Mytilus edulis: one gene and its partner. The protein of the gene in region 2 binds, or shares a complex with, the protein of the main gene of each other region. Links are inferred from orthologs where the notes say so. Each region holds a gene or a part of one and is shown on either strand. Other genes may lie near its edges.

Evidence for each region. Proteins that work in one complex are often made in the same cells at the same time.
Region 1: the proteins of integrator complex subunit 4-like (region 2) and integrator complex subunit 11-like are in contact, whole or in part, in a cryo-EM structure (PDB 7SN8), measured with the Drosophila melanogaster proteins. The link is inferred for Mytilus edulis from reciprocal best matches to the Drosophila melanogaster genes IntS4 and IntS11. Residues at the interface, in NP_572488.1 of Drosophila melanogaster: Arg226, Ser227, Gly228, Gln233, Lys256, Phe259, Tyr260, Asp262, Ser263, Gln264, Lys299, Asp300, Asp301, Cys349, Leu351, Lys380, Lys381, Ile437, Glu441, Glu443, Phe444, Leu445, Glu446, Arg448, Asp471, Phe472, Asp475, Asn478, Glu480, Ile481; in NP_651721.1 of Drosophila melanogaster: Thr182, Pro183, Arg185, Gly188, Ala189, Trp191, Ile192, Asp193, Lys194, Arg196, Ile210, Arg211, Asp212, Ser213, Lys214, Arg215, Arg258, Asn287, Gln288, Lys289, Lys292, Thr293, Met299, Gln400, Asn404, Asn469, Ala470, Pro472, Pro473, Pro475.

The regions. Positions count from the first base shown.
Region 1 is NC_092356.1:73,124,363-73,132,069, reverse strand, and holds the start of integrator complex subunit 11-like, read left to right. Parts: upstream 1-4,668; 5' UTR 4,669-4,741; coding exon 4,742-4,769; intron 4,770-7,100; coding exon 7,101-7,112; intron 7,113-7,671; coding exon 7,672-7,707. Other genes in the region: ceramide-1-phosphate transfer protein-like, read right to left, coding at 4,086-4,204. UniProt on the Drosophila melanogaster protein: RNA endonuclease component of the integrator complex, a multiprotein complex that terminates RNA polymerase II (Pol II) transcription in the promoter-proximal region of genes.
Region 2 is NC_092346.1:94,729,640-94,736,906, reverse strand, and holds the start of integrator complex subunit 4-like, read left to right. Parts: upstream 1-4,074; 5' UTR 4,075-4,142; coding exon 4,143-4,196; intron 4,197-7,267. UniProt on the Drosophila melanogaster protein: Component of the integrator complex, a multiprotein complex that terminates RNA polymerase II (Pol II) transcription in the promoter-proximal region of genes.

The DNA.
Region 1 (7,707 bases), on a different chromosome or scaffold from region 2:
ACTTTTGGTTTTAGAACTTGAATTGTGTAAAATTTTGTAATGTCTAGGCTCTAAACTAACATGCTTAATAGCTGACTATATTGAAAAGGTTAAGGTCATTGTTGAAGGTCATATGGTGACTCATAGTTGTTCATTTCTGTTTCATTTGGACTATAATTGTCTCACTGGCAATCATACCACATAAATTCCTCAATTATAACAGGAGTTACTTCCATTAGGCCATAGATTTGACTAAAACATTATAAATCATTTCCAAATAGAAAGATGATAGTATGTATCATAGGGAACATGTGTACTAAGTTTCAAGTTAATTGGACTACAACTTCATCAAAAACTACCTTGACCAAATGTTTTAGAGAACCTGAAACAGGACTGTAAGATAGAAGCACAGACCGAAAAACATTATCCCCATTGTGCATACAAACCAACTTTTCTACTCGAAAAATGGTATGATCCCGCTTTTTGTTTTGCCAGAATCCTGTATCCTACTTGACCCATTTCAAGGCCGTAACTAGGCATCTTATTTTAGTGAGGCAAAATAATTGAGCCGAGCGAAGCTAGGCGAATTTTTTTTTTGAGAGTATGAAATGAATGGTGCAAAATTCTGCATTCTAGGCATTTTTAGAGAGTTTGATAATGTTTTGAATTTGGACACTTTTTATATAAATTTTTCATATTTTAATACTTTTACAAACACCAAATTTTTAACAACTTTTTTAAATTTATATGTACGATAATCATCCAAATATCACTGATTTGAGTCTGCTGCCAGAACATAGAACATACATCGATTCAGTAGAGTTTTCAAAATTTTTCTATGGACGGTTCAATCAAATCGTTTCAGAATCATAATTTGATCTGCTGATATCCTTATGGCGATGAACATGGAGCATGACAAGACCGCACAATCTCTCGCCACTCATGCATGCTCTTTTCCAAGTTTTCAGCTGTTCCAGGGCAGTCTGTGTTTCTAAAGGTAGCACATCATCATCAACACAATGATCAATGTCTTCTTCCAATTCCTTCTCCATCAGCAATTCGGTAGCAGCATCGGTAGTAACAGTTTTGTTTGCAAAAGGGAATTAAGCTTTCCTGTGAGCACCATCATACGTGGTATTTTAGTTCCAGAATCTATAAATTTAGGGGTTAGGGTTTGGGGGTGTCCGATTCCGAAACCCCGAATATAAAGAAATGAAATTCCGTAGTCCCGAATAAGTAAAGACAAAATCCTGTGTTAGAGGTTCTTCGATTCCTCATTGATATCAAATTGGAATATGGGATATTCTTTCAACTTTTAAGGTTAAAGAAACATGGATAAAAACTAATCCTTGCATTCATGATTCATATTATTTATATTTCATTTATCTGTAAAGAGAAAGTTTAAAGTTCGTGAAATGAATAGATTTGTCAAAAGTTGGTGAAACGGAGAAATGAATACGCAGACAGGACTGCCCCCTTCCGAAGACCAGTACTTTATTTGTCAGTCTACTTATCGTGTTTTGATTGTTCTAATGAAGTTATATGCAATATTCAGACTCTGTTCACAAAAAACTAGTTTACTAGAATTATTCCTTCTTTACCTTCCTTTTTCTGCAAGAGCCTGTTTTTAACTAAAGATCCATGATGATTATCGTTACTAGGTTAATGTAATCGAGAAACATCACCCGTTGAGATGCTGAATTATATACAGGAAGAATAGTTTAATAAAAGGAATGATGACAAGTTATAGAAATTAAGGTTGAGACAGAACAACAAATGACTATTATATTTATATATATATATATATGTATTAAAAAAAATAATCATTGTCGAAATTTTAGTGAGGCAATTGCCTCACTTGCCTCAAGGGTAGTTACGGCCTTGCATTTCCATAATAGTGCATGTAATTTCCCTGTGTTCTACCATGTCTACCAGACTTTATTTCCTGTTTTCATGCTTAAGTTTAATAAACTTATATTGAGATATTTATATGATGCCAATTCTTGAAAATCATGAAAACACATGCAACAACAAAAATAAGCGGCTAATATTTCAACAAACTTAAATATACTCTATACAAATACTATTAAGGTAGAAAAATCAATAAAAAAATTCATTTAAAAAAATAGGGAAAATTTCACGAAAATTTCATTGAAGATACTAATCATGCTAATGAACTCCAAATAGATAAAAAAAAATCAGACTTTTCAATTTTCTAGCATTTGCGTAGAAATCCTATTCCTTTTTACACCTTGTTTTAATGTTCACCTCACAGTAATTATAATTGACAGATCAGCAACTCTCACATGTCTGCAGGTTCTTAAATAAACATAATTAAATAGATCAATTGAAGTTCTTCTACACATGTTGTCATTCTGTAGTCTGACCATCAAACATGTACTTGTTAATAAATTAGTTATAGAAACTGGATTGTATTATTACATAGCAAATATATTACACACCTCATTGTCATGCGACTTTGAGTAATTTAGTAACATATACAGGAAGTCAAGGAACACAATACCAATTTCATTTGTAATAATTTGATCTTTGTCTTTGATATGAATAAACATCACCTGAGTGATGATCGCGTTTCTTTGTTTACATTGAAAATGACATCATAACTAAAATAACATCACAACTAAAATCCCTAACAACATGAACAACAGAACCAAAATCATAACGTTAGGTATTTCTGTTTCTTTTTTAACAGATTTTAAAGTAACATGTAAAATATGTCTTAATTAAAAAAAAAAAATAATTCATACGCTCAATAGTCCATTTGCCAATTACCGATTTGATTCTATTATAACACACTTTTTAAACAAATTACTTCCCTTTGTCAAACATAGACTGGTTCCATACGGGACAAGCGTTACCTTTTGCCAATGCAAAGCATGATGAATTGAAAGTGATGTATCGGCGGTTTAACTAATTTATTACGAAAAATAATTTCTGATGTCAAAAGTATTTAGCTGAACAACAAATAAATGTAATTAAAAGATTTAAAAACCTTAAAGATTACTCACATTACGCACAGGTAAATTTTCTCTGTCTGCTCTCCATTGTAAATAAAAAATAATGTCCGTCATAAGGGAGACAACCAAATTAGGGATCTCTAAAAACAGGGTCAATTACGGGAATTGGCAAATAGCTATATAGCCTATTCATACAGACTTCGTACCCTTTCAGAGGTAATGCTAGTCCAAATAATTATGACAGCATAAAAGATTTATTTAAAGTCGGTTATACATATAACAATACAAAATAAGCTCTGTAGAGCTTTTATCCAACATCAGAAGACTAATATGAGGCAGGCATTACCTGTAAATGGGGACGAAGTCTGTATGAATTATTTTTTGTAACTTAAATATTTGTTAAAAAAAAAAGAAACGGAAATACCGTAACGTTTCCGATTTTGGTTCTGTTGTTAGGGATTTTAGTTGTGACGTTATTTAAATTATGACGTCATATGCAATGTAAACAAAGAAACGCTATCATCAGGTAACGTTTTTTCATATCAAGGAATTATTAAAAATGAAATTGGTATTGCGCGTTCCTTCCTATTTTATACTAGACTGATAAATATATATTTTACTCAAAGTTTCATACAAACGAGACCGGAAAAAGAAAGTACATTGTACATTTCTGCGCATGTCCGGGATTTCAAAACATGACATAAAAAAAATTGAACGATTTTGAGTTCATTAGTACAATGAAAAATTTGGGAAATTTTCCCGTATTTTTTTTTTATTGAATTTTCTACTGTTATTGGGGACTCCGTCCCCATATTATAATTTTTTTCTTTGACTCGAAGTAAGGCGAAAATTATAATAGCCTTTCAAGACGTCATAATTATTTGGACTAAGGTAATGCCTGCCTCATATTCATGATATTAAACATTCTGCAAAAAGACAAATGTATATATATAAAAAAAATAAAAAAAAAAATAAGGGCGAACAGACACAGCAGGTATTAGGGCGAACATGCATCAGGGCGAACGGACCCGGATTCCACATATAATCTATTTACATGTCAATTATTGGACTTGAAATTGAGTCGAAAGTTTCTGTAAAAATATAGCCTTGACCATTTAAATAATTTACTTTGATAATTCTTCGTATGCATTCACATATTCGTCCATATCAATCGTGTCGTCATCTTTTATACAGCTATGGAACAACTTATAAAGTCGTTCGATATCAAAACTGTCATGCGATGCCATTTTGTTGGAAATAATATTTTGTTGTCTCTGTAAACAAAGCAAGAGAATCTTGATTAGCCACGGTAAAAAAAACGTTAGTTAAAACGTTGTTGCGATGATAAAGTAAATAAGAATTGGCAGGTTTGTTTCTTTTGAGAGTATTTTATGGTATAACTATTTACAGGATTAGATTTAAAATAGCAACCTGTAACAACCAACCCTTTTAAAACAAAATGACATTCACATACAAAAAGAGCATTAAATTTGTTTGAGTTTTGTTCTATGTTTTGCTTGCTTCATATTGTGTTAATTTCTTGTTTTACATTTCCGTCGTATAATTTTTCAGACATGAGAACGTTGTTGTTTTATATTGTTTAAAATTACAAATTTATTCACGTATCTTTTATGATTCTATAAAAGTACAATCTTTCTAGAACATAACTTGGTTCTGACTAATTTTAGAGCGAATACGGTTAAAGTATTCCGGACGTATCATGCTTCAGCTCAAAAAAGCAGAACTATCTCCCAAATTCATAACATAAAGATAACTATTTGAAAATGACAGAAATTCGAGTCACACCACTAGGTAATTTATGTTGTCATTCCACAATATGTACAGAAGCATTAATCAAATGTCACAGCTTTCTCTGTTACTTGACCAGTGATCTGAGTCCAAACAAAGTTATGAAAATAATTATATCATGCCAGTCAGCAGTTATATCAATACATTGTTTGTGTACCTACCATTGGGGTTATGCGTGATGCAGGATTGGCAGAATTTTTTAAAGCGTGACACGTGAAATAATTAAGCATGAAAACGGGAAACAATGTCTGGCGGGACACCAGTCCAAATAGTTATGACGTCTGGCAAGGCTATTTTAATTTTTTTTCTGGGACGCCTCCCTACGACGTCCCAGAGAAAAATTAAAATAGCCTTGCCAGACCCCGACGACATAATTATTGGGACTAGCGGGACACGGAAATAAAATGCACTATTATGGTAATGAGGATCGCGAGCGGATACAGAATTTTTATTAAACAATAAGCGGCATACACGTAGCCGGGGGGTTCGGACGACTTGAAAACAAATAAGCACTGTTAAAGTCAACTTTCTGTTCGAATTGTGACTGTTAAAGTCGAGTTTGTGATTTGTGAGTCCAAATACCCCCCCTCCCCCCCCCCTTGGAAATTCCTGGCTACCAGGCCTCTACAATAACTTTTTTTTCAACTTGTCCAGTAGGACAAGTACATACCAAAACTTACTTGTCCGAATGAAATTGTAACTTGTTCCAAAAAAATCTTAAGAATAACCTTTTTTGTATTCTAATGCAATTTGGATGTAACAATTTTTTTCATTGGCTAAAAGTTGCCGTCAAATCCACAGTTGACCAGGCGTAACTAAGGAGGGGCCCGCCATTTTGAATTAATAAATCAACAAATGTTCGATTACTACTATATAATCGAAAATAAAACAACAGCTACCTCGAATTCGCCGTTTTAATGTAATTTTATCCGAATTTGAAGCGTACGGGTAAAATAATAACCTCCAGTTTGTAAGTTTTCATTTGAATGACGTCAGGTTTAGCCATGACGTCTTTGTGCCAAAATCATTCATGAAATTTCGTGTATTTTTTTTTATTTGACAAATTTAGACATTTTTTCAAGTTTTATCGCATTTTTTCTTTTTGTAATGCATTAGAATCGGAATAACAGTACTGTAGTTGAAGAGTTGCCACCGTCAATTTTGATTTGACGGACGCAAATATCGTTTTACTGTCTCCGCTACGCGTCGCCAGTAAAACTGCATTTGCGACTGTAAAAATGAAGATGAGTTATCATTGCCAATGAGACAACTCTCTGCAAGAAATTAACTATAGGTCACCGTATTGCAAGTATTGTTTTTTACTACATAGGATCAAATATGATTTAGTGAATTTAAAAAAAAAAATACCGGTATAATTTATTTTAAAGCAACAGAATAAGGTAGAAAAACGATGTACAGATTTGTCTTGGTCCCGATATGTCTGTGTTACCAAACTGTCTATTAATCATGTCTATTAAATATGTCTCGTAGGGTGCCAAACTGTCAATAAAACTTGGAGCCGAATCGTTTCGGAGCTGGTGACAACTGTCTTGTAAAAAAAAAGTTACGTTATCTGCAACTGATTCGGATCAGTAAGACTGGTTTACGAGAATAGTATGTCTTTTACCTGTTAAAAAGTACCTGACAAAGAACCAGTTTTAAATATTTGATTGCAAGTAAACATGTCAAATTAAAACTTTATTTTTCTCTTCTCTTCTTGTTTTATTGTTTATAATTACTTTGTTCATCAAATTTATTTTCTGCAGAATAATTTTACTTGTCCCATCGGACAAGCTTGATATAGCTTTTACTTGTCCGACCTTTTTTTTCCCTGGTACCGGACAATCGGACAAGCGTTATTGTCGAGTCCTGGCTACGGACCTGAGCGGGATTGGAGATCATACCCTACCAATGAGACCCCCTTGTATGGGTTAGGGATAAATTACGAATAATCTTTTATACACAATAAATGAATAAATTGTAATATTTATGTTGATAAAATAGTGCTAAAACAAAGAATGATCTATGTTTATCATGTTTATTGCATTTATTATTAGTTGGTACTCATTGAATCGTTAAAATCAATGTATGCATATACATGTATCATGAATATATAATTTGCACCCCCTTCTCAGAAGTCTCTCCCAGCATTAACATCTGTATACATGTACTATACAGATCCGATTATGGTAATTGAATATGAATACTTTATTTAAAACCCCTTAAATGCCAGATTTGATACTTAATTTGGCATCTGTTTTATGTGACAATATATATAACTTTAACTACTTTTTGTACACGTAAATATAAATTCATTATTTCATTTTCTTGCAGGTGCAGGCCAGGGTAAGTTTAAGAATACTAAACAAGCTGTAAATAGTCAATGGTAGCCTAAATATCTAGCAAGAGATTATACAAAATGTAGATATTTATATACATGTATATAAACATGATAAATGTATCTACAAAATATAATTTTACCAATATTAAAAAAGTGACATTATTTTTAAAAAGAAGATGTGGTATGCACATGATGCATATAGTTGCCAATGAGACAACTCTTCATGACAAGAGACCAAATAACATATATTTAGAGGACTACAAAATTAGACACAAAATCAAATTTCCTGATATAGATGGTATATTTGGAGCTTTTTCTTTGGAATTAATGTCACAAAACTAGAGCCATACGTGAAAGAGGTGCCATTTTTACTAGAAAATACTCAATATATGTATCCATTGGAAACAATGTAATAGTGAACATGACGAATACACTTTTAACCTTACAAAAAAATATTGATTTTAAAAAGAAGTCCTTATGATCATATGACATGCATGATAGACTATTGAAATTTTGCATCAATATTAAATTATTTTATTGCTATTTTATCTTCACCATTTACAGATGTGGGTAGGAGCTGTATCTTGGTGACAATTGGTG
Region 2 (7,267 bases):
GTCAAAATTACGGGACGTATTCTGTTTGTTCGTCTGTCTGTCTGTCCGACGTCCACATGTCGCACTGTAACTTGAGATATGCTATGTAAGTATGTGAGATTTCAACTTTGTATTACAGGTTTTTTTATAAGTCAAAATGGACTGTTTTTATGTTATTTATATGTTTTTATATTCGATCAAAAGCTCCTTAGAGCTTGTGCTGCTTATTTGTACTTATGTCGAATCAAAATAAAGTTTATTAGAACCACTTTTCTCTAATTTTTGTGCTATTTTCACATTTCTGACCGGTGTGAGAAACATATTTTTCCTCACTGGTGAAAAATCTGTTCACGGCAAATGATTGGTTGAAATTTAATTATGACGTTAAATTTTCTTGTTTTCTTCTAAATTTGTTTATTGTGACGTCATGAAAAAGGCGAACATGCCTGATGACGTCACACCAAAAGTACACAACTTTCCTCAAATCATAAAAATCATTAGAGAAACAGATTCCACCACTGTAACTCGTGTATTATGATATTTCTCCACCCTCAACAGTTAAAGGAGTAGGTTCAGTAAGACCCCTTTTTGGCCCCAAAATATAGCAGTTTTACAAAATTATGAAATTGTTATCTTTTAGCTATTTAATGGAAAGTAGAATGCTTCTGCTACATAAATATAGGCTGTTTTTGACAATACAATGTACACATATCGGGTACTAGCATCATTTAGTCATGCTAAATTACTGAAATCTACACAATTTTAGCATTTTAGTTAAATTTTAGACGGTTTCCGTCTGACTGAAATGAAAGTGGCCGCATTCGTGTTCATTCATAATATTGAAATGTAAGTTGTATTTGATGATAATACATAACATATATAAAGGTTGAGGATGAACACGGATGCGGCCACTTTCATTTTTGACAAAAACCATCTAAAAAGTGACGTTTTTTGGCATATTTCTAAATTTTCCATATTTAAGCTTGAATCGGAGCGTTTTTAATGACTAAATCAGTTAAAAAACACTTTCACAAAAACTAAACAAATCAATTGAAATAGACACTTAAGTGTTTAAAAAATGTCCAAAATCTTTCGTCAGATGAACATGAAATTTGAGGCCAAAATCAGCCCTTACCGGACCTACTCCTTTTAATTATTAAGAAAGTTCGGCAAGCTTCTCGCTTTAAATATCAAAATTTAGATAGGAGAAATATATCGTTATACACTTTCCTCAAATCATAAAAATCATTAGAGAAACAGATTCCACCACTGTAACTCGTGTATTATGATATTTCTCCACCCTCAACAGTTAAAGGAGTAGGTTTTAAGCAATAACCATAAATCGTTTTTGAGATACGGCGCGACATGTGAAAAAAATCATTTGAAACAACTATGATTTTTTCACATGTCGCGCCGTATCTCAAAAACGATTTATGGTTATTGCTTAAAACTTTACACACTTGTTTGTTATCTTTATCTATTTAAAGATCTGTATAATTTTTTGGTGATAATTCAAAATTGTATTTAAGAGTTATTAAGGTTGTTTTTTTTTAAAGGGGGGTCACACACAAGACGAAGGACATATCATGCGCTCGTGGCGCACCTGTTTATTAAGGTTTTATTATGCATATTCCTGTTGGTTTTAGGTTTCAGTTTGCCTGTTTAAAGTTTTACTACGTGTGGTCCTGTTGATTTAATGTTTTACTTTGCATGTCACTGTTAATTGAAAGTTGAACTTCTATCATTTAGGTTTGTATAGTATTTCAAGCAACTGAAGTTATAATTTAACTTATAAAATAAAACTAAATTGTATTTTAAAAAGCTATAACTATTATTAAATTGTTTTGACAAATCAAAGCATATTTTTGTTCATTGTGTTGATTCACAAAATTACACTTTATAAATTCGTGCATTCGTTGTGCTAAACCGCAGGTTTTTAACTATAAACTGTGTGCATAAATTATCAATTCTGTTTAGAAAACACTATTAAAGTTTTAATAAAAGTTATTTAGTTGTAAAATGTATGACACTTCCGTGTCCTGATATTTATCAGATATGAACGCTGATATCCCCATATGTATCCGTGAATTACTTGAAAGGCACAAACATGGTTATATACCACTGCTTGATCTATTGTCAACGGCAGGAATTGTTCCTTTTTTTCTTGTTTTTTTTAATGACGTTAATGGTAAAACTATGTTTACTTTATTTGATAATCTGAAGAAAGACGGGATGCTTTCATAACCGGGAAGAAGATGATCGACATGCTTTATACGAAGGCACGCAAGAACATAAAAACCACTTTTGAAAGTATAAAAGGGGTAAGGACAATTTCCACTGTAAATTTGTTTTATGTACGAGAAAAGAAAATATTATTTATACATACATAGTAGCTAAAATGGCAAATTACTACCAAACATTTCGATTGGAGGTGCCATAACTGAAGATCCTCTTTAGTATGTCAGTATATATTTAATTTTTGATATCATATTGACAAGGTTTTGTAGAAATACATTTGTACAATTTATTAAATGAACAATCAAATATAATTAGAAAACAAAAATTAAAAAATAAGCAACAGAACCACAAAAAGGTTAAAGGTTAAGTACACACAGTTTTAATGACAGCAATAATTAGAATAATCCAAACTTTAAAATATTTGGTCTTGTGTATAACTATGTTTGTGTATGTCAAATGTTTTCTCTTTTTACAAAATGGACAGGTCATGCTTTTCTCTGACTGTTAATGACGTCTTTATACTAAATATATTGGATGTTGGACGTGTACTGATTGACATTTGAGTCTTAGATACATGATTTTCTTTATTATCTGTTATTGCCTTCGTAATTATCAAAGTAAATTTCATTGAAAGTTGTGATATGTTCATAACAATTATACAGCTTCATGTAAAATACAAATAATATACAAAACGGAATGCTAATGTAATGAAAACCTATAAAGGGTTCGTTCTTTATCTTTGAACCTCCAATGTCAATGCATGCCCATGAGTCGAGCTCCTCGCTCTATGTGCACCAACTCTTAGCGGGTACTATAGCGATTTCTGAAATATAAAAAAATGCTAACAAAACCAAAAAAGCGTCTTGTTAAAAGGAATTACGCACTGGGATTTAAAATCAGGTATTAATATAATGCAAAAAAAAAAGCAAAAGACCAGAAAAGACAGAAATTTCAGCCTGACGCAGCACTGCAATTGATAGATTGAAACGGTTTTCACATCAATAACATTTTTGTCCCCATCACCAAGATATTTTTTTTAAATCAAAAGCAGTCATAGCTCTGGTCTCATTTTGAAGGGGTATTTATGCTGCATGGTTCAGTCTGTCTCAAATCTAAAAGTCATAAGTTTACATTTTTGGTCTCGTGACCTCAGCAGTATATATATCGGAGGAAAAAAGTTTTTTGTTTGTTTTTTGTATTCAATAACGTGATTTTGGACACATAAATTTTCTTTTATAAGTCAATTCGAATATCTCCAGGGCAATTGTGCGTAATTTATGCGTTGAATAATTCAGTAAATCGCATGCTCTAGTGTTTTTCAATTTTTCTATTCCCCAAAAATCACAAGACAAAGGGCAATAACTTCAGTTAGACATGATAAATTATGATGTTTACCGAGGCTGTTCATGTGTTTCCCAATTCTGTTCGAAACATTTTAATTGCCTTGCAGCCTTTTTCACAAATAACTTAGAAATATGAAAATTGAAGTTCAATTTAATATAAATTCATTTTGTAACTCATAGTTATTTAACCTCACGAAATAGAAATAACATTTAATCAAACACAACCTGTATGATGGTTTTTATCAACCGAGATAGCCTGAAACTGCTTATTATATGCAGAAACCCTTGTATTCAATAATTTTCATAATCACACCCAAACCCTCAACCCAAAGAGCCTAAGAAATTACTTAATGTAAGAAATTTCTACACTTTGACACTGTATTGGTTATATATATATATTATAAATATGATAAGGAACAGTTTTGTTTACAAAAAGAATAACCAATGTTATGTGGTACAAATATTGCAAAAGTCCACAGGCACTTTAAAGCCTTTAAATTTAAAAAAAAAATAATTTTAAAATACGGAAATTTAAGTTCTTACCGGTTTTGTTGATAGTTATTATTTTCCCACCACTTCCGAATGGCAGCTTTGCTGAAGAAAAGGGCTGTTGCCGAATTTAGCCAAGTTATCCAGGTTATTGCTTTTTATTTTTCATTAACTTCTTACAACTGATATTGTCTATGTTACAATTATATCCGTTGTACTTAGCTAACAACTCGTCAGAGGTATATTTTTACAAGTTGTGTATCTGTAAAAATTACCGATGTAAACAATAATGTCAAAATCTAATATCAGATAACTTTTAAAGATAAATTCGAAGGCACTAGATAAAACATAGCACACAATATAAACAGATCAATTTGTGAAGACTGTAATTCATTGCTCTCCTTTACCCGCTATCTTTGATGAGCTACTACTTTAGATGACAGAAACTAATCCAACGCTGTACAGTACATACCTGTCAACCTCTGAAAATGAAAAGTCAGGTCATGACCTGCATTGAGAAAAAAAATCTCAGGTCATAAGGCGTACGACATTTTGCGGGCTCAATTGAAGAACAAAAATATGTTTACATATAATTTATATAGTCAATATGTATATGAAACAGTTAGAACATGTATACAAGTTTATTTCAGACTATTGTTATATTCCATAGTAGCAGACTTGGCATTCTTTAAAAGAACTGCACTTGGTTTCAGTTCAAAGCAATGCAAATGTGTATTCATTTTACAAGAAAGAAGAGCACACAGTGTATCCTTATTAAGATCAGCCCTAAACTCTGTAGCTATTTTCTTTACTAAAGAAAATGCCCTCTCACTGTCTGCATTGCTGTTTGGCAAAACCAGTAATGTTTTAGCAAGTTTTGACAAAACAAAAAATCTTGGCTTGTTAATAAAAATGTCATGCAACTTGGACATTTCTCCCCAAAATGTACCAATGTCAGTTTCAGGGGAAGTGCAAAGTGGAAGTTCATCTAATGGGGTCAACTGATAGTCACTGAACTCATCTTGTAGCTGTGTTGTCTCTTCATATCGTTACGTAGCTCAGGTAAACAGTCCTACATTTTGACTTTTGGTTACATTGAAAAAGACCGATAAAACCGAAGGTCGTATTACTTCTAAATACCGGAAACAATTCCGGTCAGAAATCCGGGTGAAACGGGTAATGTTAGAAATTCCCGGGACCCGCCGGGTAAAGAAAAACTCCCGGGTGAGAGGTGAAAATAACGGGTGTCACCCGCAAAAAACGGGTGAGTTGACAGGTATGACAGTAAACGTAGAAGTTGGCATATTCCCGCGTTAACATGCATTCCAAAACCCATTGTAGATGGGGGAGTGTTATGCCGAATAATGTCCAAGGGCTGTATCCTAGGTGTTAGATGATTGACCTTCATTTCACTGCCTAACGGCTTTGGTCCTGATAATGCTTCCTGTCATCTTTAGCACTACGTCCAAGACTCATCTACCAGTACTCTATCATCGGGGTTAGATGGCTGCCAAGCTGACCAAACTGGCCCTGAAAGCCGCCGTTGTGAAGAAAGAACATCAAAATAGTAAACATACCAAACCAAAGCATCTCATAAAACCAAGATGGCGACCTCCAAAATGGCGACCACCACCTGTTCCTGACCGATGGCACTAAATTATTCTAATGCTCACCAAATGCTTCGAGCACTGAGCCGACCGTGCGAGGGCTGTATAGCCAGTCAAGGTTGTTAAAAACTTCCATTTGTTGTCTGCTCCATGAATAAACACTGGATACAAATGTACAGATCTTGACTGAAAAGCTGTTCTGATGAGAGGCTAATTTGAAAAGATGATGAAAAGGAAAAAAACAAATTAACATACTATATATAGAATTAACCATATTTAAAAAAAAATAAGTAGATCTATAAACATGATAAACTCTTATATGTGTTTTTAAGAAGAATAAATAAACAGGTCATACATTTGTATATATATGTCACTTGGAAATGTCATTCGTGCAAAATCTCCCCTTCAGCTGTCATAGCTTAGAGGGAGATCTCCTTCTTTGAAGGTTTCAGAGGTTGGCAGGTATGATTATTAAATAATAATATATTATCGATTTTTTATAACTTTAAAATGATTTACAGAAATCAAATAAGTTCATAAAGGTCGTTTTAAATTTAATGTGTACATCGAACACGTCAGCGATTGTGATTTCTGTGCTCATCATATTGGATGTACACACTTAATTTAAAAAGTTTTTTATGAACTTACATTGTATCTGCTTTCTGTTAATCATTTATAAGTTATAAAATACATTGATAATATACTATTATTTAATAATCAATTTATAAAAGTCACTAATATGTGCTAGTATTAAAATTTCAAGTGTTATTCAGTCATTTGAGGTACCTGTAACCAGCAGAAAACAGCTCATGGCCACCGTTGTGTCGTCAACACAACCAGAAAATCCTGCATCTGCCCCCAGATGAGGGCTTCTGCTGGCCCCTAAACACTAATGTGTATAAATTCAGTAAAAATGGATGTCACATCACACTGAACTCTGAAATATATAAAAGAATCAAATTAAAAAAAAAATTACTAGACTATCAAAGGCAATTCATCAGTCAGGGGACTTACTTAAATGAGTGATTTTCTAAATCACTGATTCAAGTAACATTATATCCATAAAGGTTGGAAGTAATAGTTGCCTTTCTTTAATAATCACCTACATGTATTTAAGTAGTACAAAATAATCACTAGAAGAAGTGATTTAATTTTACTGTAGATTTAAATATATATATAGATTACTAATTTTCCAGGGACTAATTATGTTTCTAAACTTATCAGAACCAACATCTGTGTTGTCTAGGATGACCAGGTCATTTCAGGTGATGACCTTGTACTGAATCTAGGATAATGACATAAAAATCACTTGTTTAAGTATCATACCTCAATTTCCTTCTCAAAAGTCACTTCTTTAAGTATCATTATTTCTAATAACCCCCACTAATTTCAACACCCCCGAACAGTGAAATCTGAAAGATAAAACCTTGAACTTTACAGGAAAAATACTCCAACTGCTGGGAAAAATCTGTTAAGAAAGTATTAGTTCATTAGGTAAAGCCATTATTATAGCTTTTTTTCAACTAAAATAGAATTTGCAGCTAAATGATAGCATCAAAGGTATAAACCTTGCTACTTAAAGAAGCAAAAAATACATTTTTTTCAATTTTA